Linked DNA regions of Drosophila melanogaster. The protein of the gene in region 2 interacts with the protein of the main gene of each other region in a pairwise test. Each region holds a gene or a part of one and is shown on either strand. Other genes may lie near its edges. The genes, in order: Fer2 and NfI.

Region 1 (4,314 bases), on a different chromosome or scaffold from region 2:
CTGTGATGATATTGCTGCCCTGGCCAATCTATTCCGGGATACCATGATCCAGGACAACATTGTGACGGACTGTCATGGCTTTGTTGAGGCCATGTTCAGTCTGCGTTTGAAGAGAAGCGAGCTAGAGAGCCTACGCAAGGTGGCCGTGCTTAATCCGGCCTAAGGAGCCAGTGTGGAAAGGGCTCTATGACCAATAGATCAAACAACAGCAACAAAACCAAAAACAAATTGGAGAAGCAATCGAAAATTCAATTATTAGGAGCGTAGTTCAGCCGTGTCATTGTGTTTATGTTCATTATTGTGAGTGTGCATTATGTAATCGTTTCTATTTAGTACATACTTATGTGCGCGCATTTGTATTACCATTGTAGCCAAGGTCAACACAATTTGAGTATTAGCCAACGAAATCTGGTCGAGTTATCAAAGCGAAATTTGAAATTTAACAGAGTTGAACAGATTAGTTTAAGCGCATATGTACCTACGTACGTATGCCGTAGGAGTAGTAGCCAAAAGTTTCTAGTTGATATCTTCCGCATGTAGTCCAAATAGAGCAAGTACATAAATATTATACAAATTACATACATGCCTAACCATCGGCAGCGCATTTAGCCCTCCTTTTACCCAACAACAAACATTTTGTGTTCTAAGTTATCTTGTTGATCAAAGAAGTATTTATTTTCGAGTATGTGTACTTTGATAGGGAGCTATGTTAATGTCTACGTCTAGTTAAAACATGTATTTACTTTTATATATATAAATGCTTTTAAAGTTGTTACATAGTTGACTAACTGTAAAACGTCTGTTAGCTGCAACTGGTTTGTCGGTTTGTCAGATCGGTTGCCCAATACTCAATACTATTTACAAAAGATTTATCCTGAAATATAATTTGAGGAATTGATTTGTAAATGCATTATCCTGCGAGCCTTTGAAACCAATAACTATTTATTAAACACAGTAGTGGGCTTCAATGGCAGATGGGTCTTGTATTTCGTGCAGCCGAGACGCTTTTCAAATAAAATACTATTGCTAACTGTTAGTAACTGTAGAAATATGTCCAGCCTTAAACTATTTTGGGATATCAAAACCTAAAGGGAAGACTTTGTAATCTTTGGGGAAGATCAGAAGCTTAAGTGGTAAGTGCTTTCAGCAGTTGATAGGCTAAGCCTCAAATATATAGAGCGAATCTACGGCATTCCGCAATGAGCTCCGCACATGGGTTCCGAGGAGAGAGCCAACGAGGTAAGCAGGGTTCGCCTACCAGGATGTACTCCGAGGTTCTCCCAGTTGATCCACGACAGACGAGCTGTGAGATCTGCGAAGCGAACCATTTATTGACCATTGATATTCCGACCAAATTCTCTACTCACCACTCGTATTCCAATTAGCCCTATCCGCTTTGATCTCTCCGCGCAGACACTTCTCCACATAGGTTAGGGGATCGTAGTCGGTTTGTAGTACCTCACGGAGCAGAGATATATAGGCGATGGCAAGCCGCAGAGTGTCGATCTTGCTCAGACGTTTCTCGTACGGAAAGGTGGGTACATGGACCCTTAGCTCATCGAAAGCCGAATTGATGCTACTGCAAAGCGCAAAAATACAAAAAAAAAAGGAAAGCTTGTTAGTTATAATTTCTGGTTAAGAGATCGTGGGATAGTAAGTTGTAAAATGGAAAAGACCATTTGGTGTACCCAGTTGGGGCGGACCTCTGGATGCGTTTCCTTTCCCGCACATTGGCCGCCTGTCGCTGCATTTTGTAGCTGGACGCAGTTGCAGCTCCCACGGATCCATATCCAGGATTGGGACCACCTGCACCGCCAGGAGTAGCAGATCCTGCGTTGCCGCACCCTCCTCCACTGCTGCTGGCACTGGGGCTGTTGCACATTAAGGGTGCTCCTCCCCCGGAATTGTGCACCCCCATTGGATTGGTAGAGGAGTCGAGCAGATTTTCTGAGGGATTTCAGAAAGATATTCAAGGTGTCTTGACGTAAATATATTTATTCTCCGTCATACCTCCGCTATGTTGCATATAATGCTGCTGGATGTGACGCAGGTTGTTGGAGCTCAGACGCAGCCCAGAACTGCCACCGCCACCTCCCGATCCACCACCTCCACCGGTGGCGCCTCCGCCTTGATGCTGACCCGCATAAATGCAGGAGGGCAAATCGTTAATCAGATCATCGTCGAAATTGTGGAAGGGTAAATGGCTGTTAAAGGTAAGAATTGAACATTTGATGATTAGGACTGTATTGTAAAGTCTAAAGTAATTAATTTTGTATCCGTGTATTTAATCAAATCGAGATACCGACGGCACTGACGAAAGTCAGTTCAGATTCTGGGCGCGACTCCACTTCTGCGCGCATACTTATGTAAATAAATAGATTTATTTTTTATTAAATAAAACTGTATATATGAGCAATTATTCAGTTATTTGATTAAATAAATATGCATACGTTTTTCGTTTATGTCGTACATTAAAACATTTTCGAATTTTATCATTATAATCAGAGAATAATTTACGTATTTATTATAGTATATTTATTATTTTATATATATTTATATAACATCCGTACCTAATGGGCGGTGAAGACGACGAATCCGGCAATTGATTTCGCGACATTTTCTTATCAAATGTGTTATTTTTTCACTAAACAATATTAATCCAATTAAAATCTAGAACGACTATTAACTTTTCCGACACTTTTACGCACTTCCGCTGTCCAATAAGTTAAAAACTTTAGTGAGTCCATCTCCCGGGAATTGCGAGCCTTTTATAGTGCCGCAGATCCAATTGGAAATGCCACAACTCTGGCCAGGACCTTTCCACCCCTAAACGTCCTTGCAGCCAGTTACCGTGAGCCGTCTACGAGATGGGCGGAGCTTGCCAAGTACAGGGTGTTTGCCCCTGCAAATGGAGCGGATGCTGTGGGAAATTCGTTGGACTTATTCGCCTCTGGCTACCCTTCAATTGCTGGGCGTAGATCTGGATTTCAAGTTAATTATGGTAGTTGATTTGCCCGTCTACTTAGAAATCAGAATGACTTTGATATTTGTTCAGAAACATGTTTTATACAAGCCATCCTTATTAAATTTTTTGGCTTAAAGTTATTTTAAGAAAAGTTAATAAGTAATTTTATTGTGTTTTAAAATATATATCCCGATTTATTTATAATTTTCCTTAATGCACAAAATTGGTTCGTTGATTGTAGGACAGCTTAAAGTCTCGCTAGCCGAAACAATACCATTGCAGCCACTCCCCTTTAAGATCCAGCTCCATTCGCTTTGTGCTTCCTTCACCTGTTTTTGACATTCTGCCATTATATTTCGCACAGCAGGAAGTCGCCATGTTTGAGTCCACCGCTTTGATGATGGGGGAGGACGAGTGGAGCTTTCTGGAGGCGGGGGACCCGTCTAACCTAACCCCAGATAACCCTCCCGCTTCCCCTTTTAAAATCAGTTTTTACAACCATATGGGGAAAGGGATATACGATGAAATCTGCTGGTAATCGGAGTACAAAATAGGGGCCCATGGACCTGTTGATTTGACTCGACTAAAGTTCGATTCCCACGGGACGAGGACACAAAGCAGAGTCAGGGCAATTAGATCTAAGGCAGATAGCTGGTCGCTACATTTCACGGCTCATTTAACCTAACCAGAACAAGAAACAGGATCAGGATCAGAATCGGGATCTGGAACCACTCGAAGCCGCAGTCTTTGTCAGCAGTCGTCACGGGGCAATTGTTGAAATTGAATTATGTTTATTTGATGTTTTGGTTTGCTCGCAAATTAGCTACGTCAGAGAATCCCCGCCCAGTCGGGCGACCTGGTCGCGTGCCCTAACCCGAGGCGCGAAAATCCCGAGCAGACCGATCCGCAGAACAAAGGGACTGGCAATATGTCAGGGATGCGGATGCGCAAACCTTTTCATTACCAGACAAATTTGCTTGTCGCACGCGTCGGCGCACACTTCGTACACCCCTCGCACCCAGAACTCCGGGCTCTGATGACAGTAATCAGTTTTGATGGAGGGTAAGTGCCCGAATCCTGTGCAGAATTCGAGTTCAGACCGATTGAGCTGGAGATAGAATTGTGGTGCCGCGAACAAAGCTGACATCCTTAAGTGAAATCTTGTTACCAACCAATGTAAACACGATTGTTAATTTAACTTTTGCAATTGCCGCAGGAAAGCCGCCCTTTAGACCGGTACTTCCCCTAATCCTAACCCTAACCCATAACCCACTGAGGTGGACTTGTCATCGCACCACAATTAAATTATCGCATTTCAAACGAGTGCACCCAAGGAAGTGTAAATCACG
Region 2 (5,021 bases):
TAAATGTAAAGTTATTGTGCGCTGCGTTTCAACGGATTTTCTGTTGGATACGGACATAAGGTAACAATATGGCAGCGTTTTCTAGGCTTCCGCCGAGCGTAACAACAACACGTTAGCCCCACATTTGCTCCGACTGGTCTTGCCGGTACCACGCATATTCAGTTTTTATGAACGCTCCTGGCATCAATTCCTAAAACATTTGACAAGGCCATAAGCACAGTCCTGACACGCGCAGGGGTTTATTTTAGGACTGGACTCGCCGGGTCAATGCCATGGTTTGGTCTTTACTAGTGTCGTACCTATCCGGATTCTGCCTTTCAATTGATTCATGATGACTGGCTATTTAGTCTTTGAAATGCTTAAATGGGCCCACTTTAAACGTTAATCTTCGGCGTCTCCAATGTCCACGGTTTTTCCGTTTGTGCAGGTCAGTCTTTGTATCTTGCTTTCTTGCTTTTCCTGCCGCCTTGCCCTCACTCGTGAAGTCTCGCTTTTCGTCCTCCCTCGCCGTCTGTAACCTGCCTCTCTATCTATCCTCCCTCAGTAAGCGTAATCTGATAGACGCGGAAGTCAACTATCCCATCCCAAATGCATTTGGGATTTCTTTAATCCAATTATTTCGACGCAAAATATCTTCATCTCAAAAGCGAGAAAAACTTTATTCCAAATCAATAAAAGTCTATCGGTCTTGATCGGGTTTATAGGGTAAAATCGCTCTTTTTACAAGAAGTTGACATTCATTTCATCCAATAACCAAGGCCTTTATGGTCACCACTTATAATATGGGGGTGTACTATGTTCGTTGAAATGTGTGTAACATGTTGAAGGAAGCGTTTCGAACAAAAAAAAACGTATTACTGATCAAGATCAATAGTCGAGTTGATCTGGCGAAGTCTTTCGATCTCAGGAACTATTAAAGCAGGAGAGTTGAGATTAGAAAGGAAGATTCCAAATGTTCCAAATGTACGCACACAAACCGCCTTTTCCATCAATGTGCCAAACAAGTTTTTGCACTGGGCACTCTAACGCCCATTTTTGAATGTTTTTATTTCATTCCCCAATTTCTATCGATATTCCAGAAAAATTAATTACTGGAATCTGAGAGTCTTTGAACTCGATGACCAAAAAATTTATTTCGCCATATTGACTAATTTCAACAAACAAAAAACCTTTTTAGGACTTCAGAGGAGGAGTGGAATCTTCGGAAACGAACTTGCACAAATTCGACATTCTAAGAAACTACGTACTTAAAATCAACCTTCTAAACGGATACGGCCATTTCCTTTCTTATGGAATAGGGAACTGTTCTTTGTACATGTTGCTTAATTTTAAACTAATATAGTATTTTTTAAAAAAAATTTTGTGCATTCACACCTTGATTGATCTATAGTTTTTGCCATAAAATGTGTTTTTTAATATAAAAACTTCCGAGTTCCTTTTAGTTAGGCGAATTAATATTGTCATCAAGCTATTGGGCTTGGTAGATATTTCTGACATGTTGAATTTTTACTGTAGTTGCGTGTCACATGCGCATTTCGAATTTCAATGAGCTCTCTCGTTTAGTTCCAGTCTCTCAGAGCACTAGTATCCATTTTTAGAACGTTTGGTTCGCTCGGGCCCTTTGGGTCGCTTATGTATTTGTTGATTAATTTGGATTCATGCACATATGTATGTCTCTCAAAGAGAATAACAGTTGACGAGAACAAAAATCCAAGAAGTCATCTGTGATTTGCCCATTTTAAATTTAGTCTATAAGCACAAGTTTTGCATAACACAGCTACTCAGTTATTGTTCCGTGTACTAGAAATTGCCTTTATATACATGTAAGTGTTAACAAAAAAAATATGAAATTGTGTTTTTCACATAATTAAAACCCGCGAGGTCTTAGAACTGACTTAACTTTAAGAAGGACTTTATTAAAATATTATGGTAGAATACCATTCATACTACTAGTTTACTTAAAGAAAACAAATTACAGTTGCATTTTTAGATAGTATTACAGGTTGTAGTTTAATAACTTTAAAGACGAGCGGACGACTTAATTCTCTATACATTATTGTGCGTAAGCACATGAGAAAGTTTACTTCTTATGTGATTCTCGGTAACTTTTTTGCGGATTGTCCCGACAGTAATAGCCGAGTACATCGATACCTCAGATATGCGTTACTCAGCTGAAGGGCCTTTAACGGAGATAAAGACATGTAAGTTGGGAGGAATCCGTACCGGTGGTTAAATTAATTGCTTGGCAGTTACTCGCTGGATCTTTTACAGGTTTTTCGAATTTGTGGGCGTTAGACGGGCGTTGAAAATATTGCTAGGAACATTAATTATATTTATATAATAAAATACACAGCAATACTACCTAAACTCAATACATTTTTTGATTCACTTTAGACTACGTTCGATATAGACAATGCAATAAACGATTCAATGAAAGTAACAATACCTGAGGTATGTTTATACCAGAAACTTTAAGAGGCTGTATGATCGAGACGGACGTTTCTTCTTATTTGCAAACATCATCATCGGGACAGGTAAAGCGCCGTCGGTACCTTTTTTAGGTTTTTACGAAAAATAGTGATGCTTAATCGAAAAAGTCTGTAAGTTATTTAGTAAGATAGATGCGATTAACAGTGAGATAATTTGAAGAGAACTAAGTTATGCTCTCGAATACGTATATTTTAAATTTTACAAGACCAAATTTATCACGATAGGTACAAATATAGTTTTTTCTTAATCGGAATAATTCGCATGCTTTTTAATATCAGACCTTCTATATTTCTTGAGTTAAATTATAATAATTAGTTTGCCTTCTAAATAGTAATGGAAATTTCACATATAAATAACAAACTAAAACTAAACTAAAAGGGTTGAAACCGCAACCGCAATGTATGTACATTAAAAATGAATCCCGTCATATTATGAATAAATTCGAAACATTGTTTTTATCAACATTAGAACGAAATAAAAAAATGTGGAAAAGTAGGGAAATTATTCACAGAACACTATTTACATTTATTTGTACATATACGTACGTATATACACAGTATACTTGTTTTCTAATTCGTTTGATATCCCATATCATATCCCACCCAGTCGGAAGTTTGTGAACATATCCAGGAAAAGCAGTATTACAGAGTGCTTCATTTTCCACAAACAACGTTACAATTTTTTCCCACAGCTAAGAAGCTGGCTTGAAGCATTGAATAGATGGCGTCGTAGAGCGCCCAAACGTACTGCTTTTAGATGTACTCATTTGGATACGTAAAGGAAAATAAAAACCCCATCGTGCATATTCGGGTACAACGAACCCTGTTCTGTTTATACACAGACTCTGTAGAATCTTTTCATCCTTTCAGTTATATTTTAATATTAGATATACTCTTATTAAAACTATGAATATTAATATAAATTTTCAAACATATGTATGTGTACGCACGTACATCCAACTAATATTTTAAAAAGATCAAGACCATATATATACATTTATGTATATATGAACTTTTTTCTCAAAAAATGTGTACGTTTGTGTTCACACATATGTTAGAAGGGCAAGCACATTTTAAACAATCGTTACTTACAACAAAGCAAATGACAAAAGGGATAGAAGCTGACAAAAAAGGTCGTAGCATTTTGTTGTTTTATTGCCATTCTGTTTAGGTGCTCTTTAAATTTTGAAACGCAAAGATCAGTCAGTTTTTTGCAAAAATTTAGCGACATCTTTATGTTTTGTATTTGGCAAGTATAAGCACATAATATTTATAAATTTCTTGATTTGTTTAAAAAAATGTGACAATTTCACAATTGCACTTTTAATCGAAATATATTTTTAAACAAAAATATAATATAATTTTTAGTACCATCAGGAATGATGGAATACGTAGTTTTTTGTATATATACATAAGGTGGTGCAAATGGTTTTTATTTGTAAATTTTTGTCGATTTTTTAAGCATTCCTTGTTTTGCACTTTAGAACTCTAACTACAACTATAACATACCTCACCTATCTTTGGGATTGTCAAGTATTTAAAACTTATTACAGTTAGAGGCAATTAGGGACTTTTAAGTCTCTGTTCTATGGTCCTTAAATCCGTATTAAGCTTATTGTTAATATACAAAGTACATTAAGTTATATGCACTTAGACATGTAAAATTATTTAAGATCAGTAACTAATTAAATGCCTTTTTTACATATAGGATGAATTTCACCCTTTTATTGAGGCACTCTTACCGTACGTCAAATCATTTTCCTACTCTTGGTTTAATTTGCAAGCCGCCAAACGAAAATATTATAAGAAACATGAAAAACGTATGTCACTGGAAGAAGAAAGACATTGTAAAGATGAACTCCAGGTATTAATACAAACAATTTTTACAAAAGTATAAAATCGTTTTTTTTAGAATGAAAAGACTGAGGTGAAGCAAAAGTGGGCTTCCCGTCTTCTTGGAAAACTCAGAAAAGACATTACACAAGAAAGTCGAGAGGATTTTGTGCAATCTATAATCGGGAAAAGAAAATCAATTTGTGTTCTCTCAAACCCCGATCAAAAGGGAAAAATGAGACGAATTGACTGCTTAAGACAGGCTGACAAAGTATGGCGGCTTGATTTGGTCATGGTTATACTCTTCAAGGCGATTCCATTAGAAAGCACAGATGGTGAGCGGTTAGAAAAAAATCCGGAATGTTTACATCCAGGATTATGTGTAAATCCGTACCACATTAACGTGTCTGTTCGGGAATTGGACTTGTACTTGGCCAACTTTATAAATACTCATAATTCAATTAACAATACAAATACGACTTTCTCAACTACTCCGGGCGTAAGATCGCCACATATAACTATGTATAATCGAAGTAATGATCCAAACAGAAAAGATGAGGTCGCTGACATGAAAAATGATGTCGTTAAACAAAACCCATATAATGGTGTTGTTTGTAATGATATTATTTTAGCAACTGGCGTGTTTTCTTCTCAAGAACTGTGGACATTATCTAAAGGTACTATTTACTTTATTTGCAT

The links.
Region 1: the proteins of NfI (region 2) and Fer2 interact in a two-hybrid assay, tested with the Drosophila melanogaster proteins (one large-scale study listed by BioGRID).

Annotation. Positions count from the first base shown.
Region 1 is NT_033777.3:16,148,604-16,152,917, forward strand, and holds Fer2 (48 related 2), read right to left. Parts: upstream 2,710-4,314; 5' UTR 2,618-2,709; coding exon 2,571-2,617; intron 2,205-2,570; coding exon 2,011-2,204; intron 1,948-2,010; coding exon 1,677-1,947; intron 1,580-1,676; coding exon 1,368-1,579; intron 1,313-1,367; coding exon 1,185-1,312; 3' UTR 766-1,184; downstream 1-765. Other genes in the region: CG5916 (uncharacterized protein), read left to right, coding at 1-163.
Region 2 is NC_004353.4:273,093-278,113, reverse strand, and holds the start of NfI (nuclear factor I), read left to right. Parts: upstream 1-1,744; 5' UTR 1,745-1,823; intron 1,824-2,394; 5' UTR 2,395-2,453; coding exon 2,454-2,534; intron 2,535-4,197; coding exon 4,198-4,353; intron 4,354-4,401; coding exon 4,402-4,999; intron 5,000-5,021.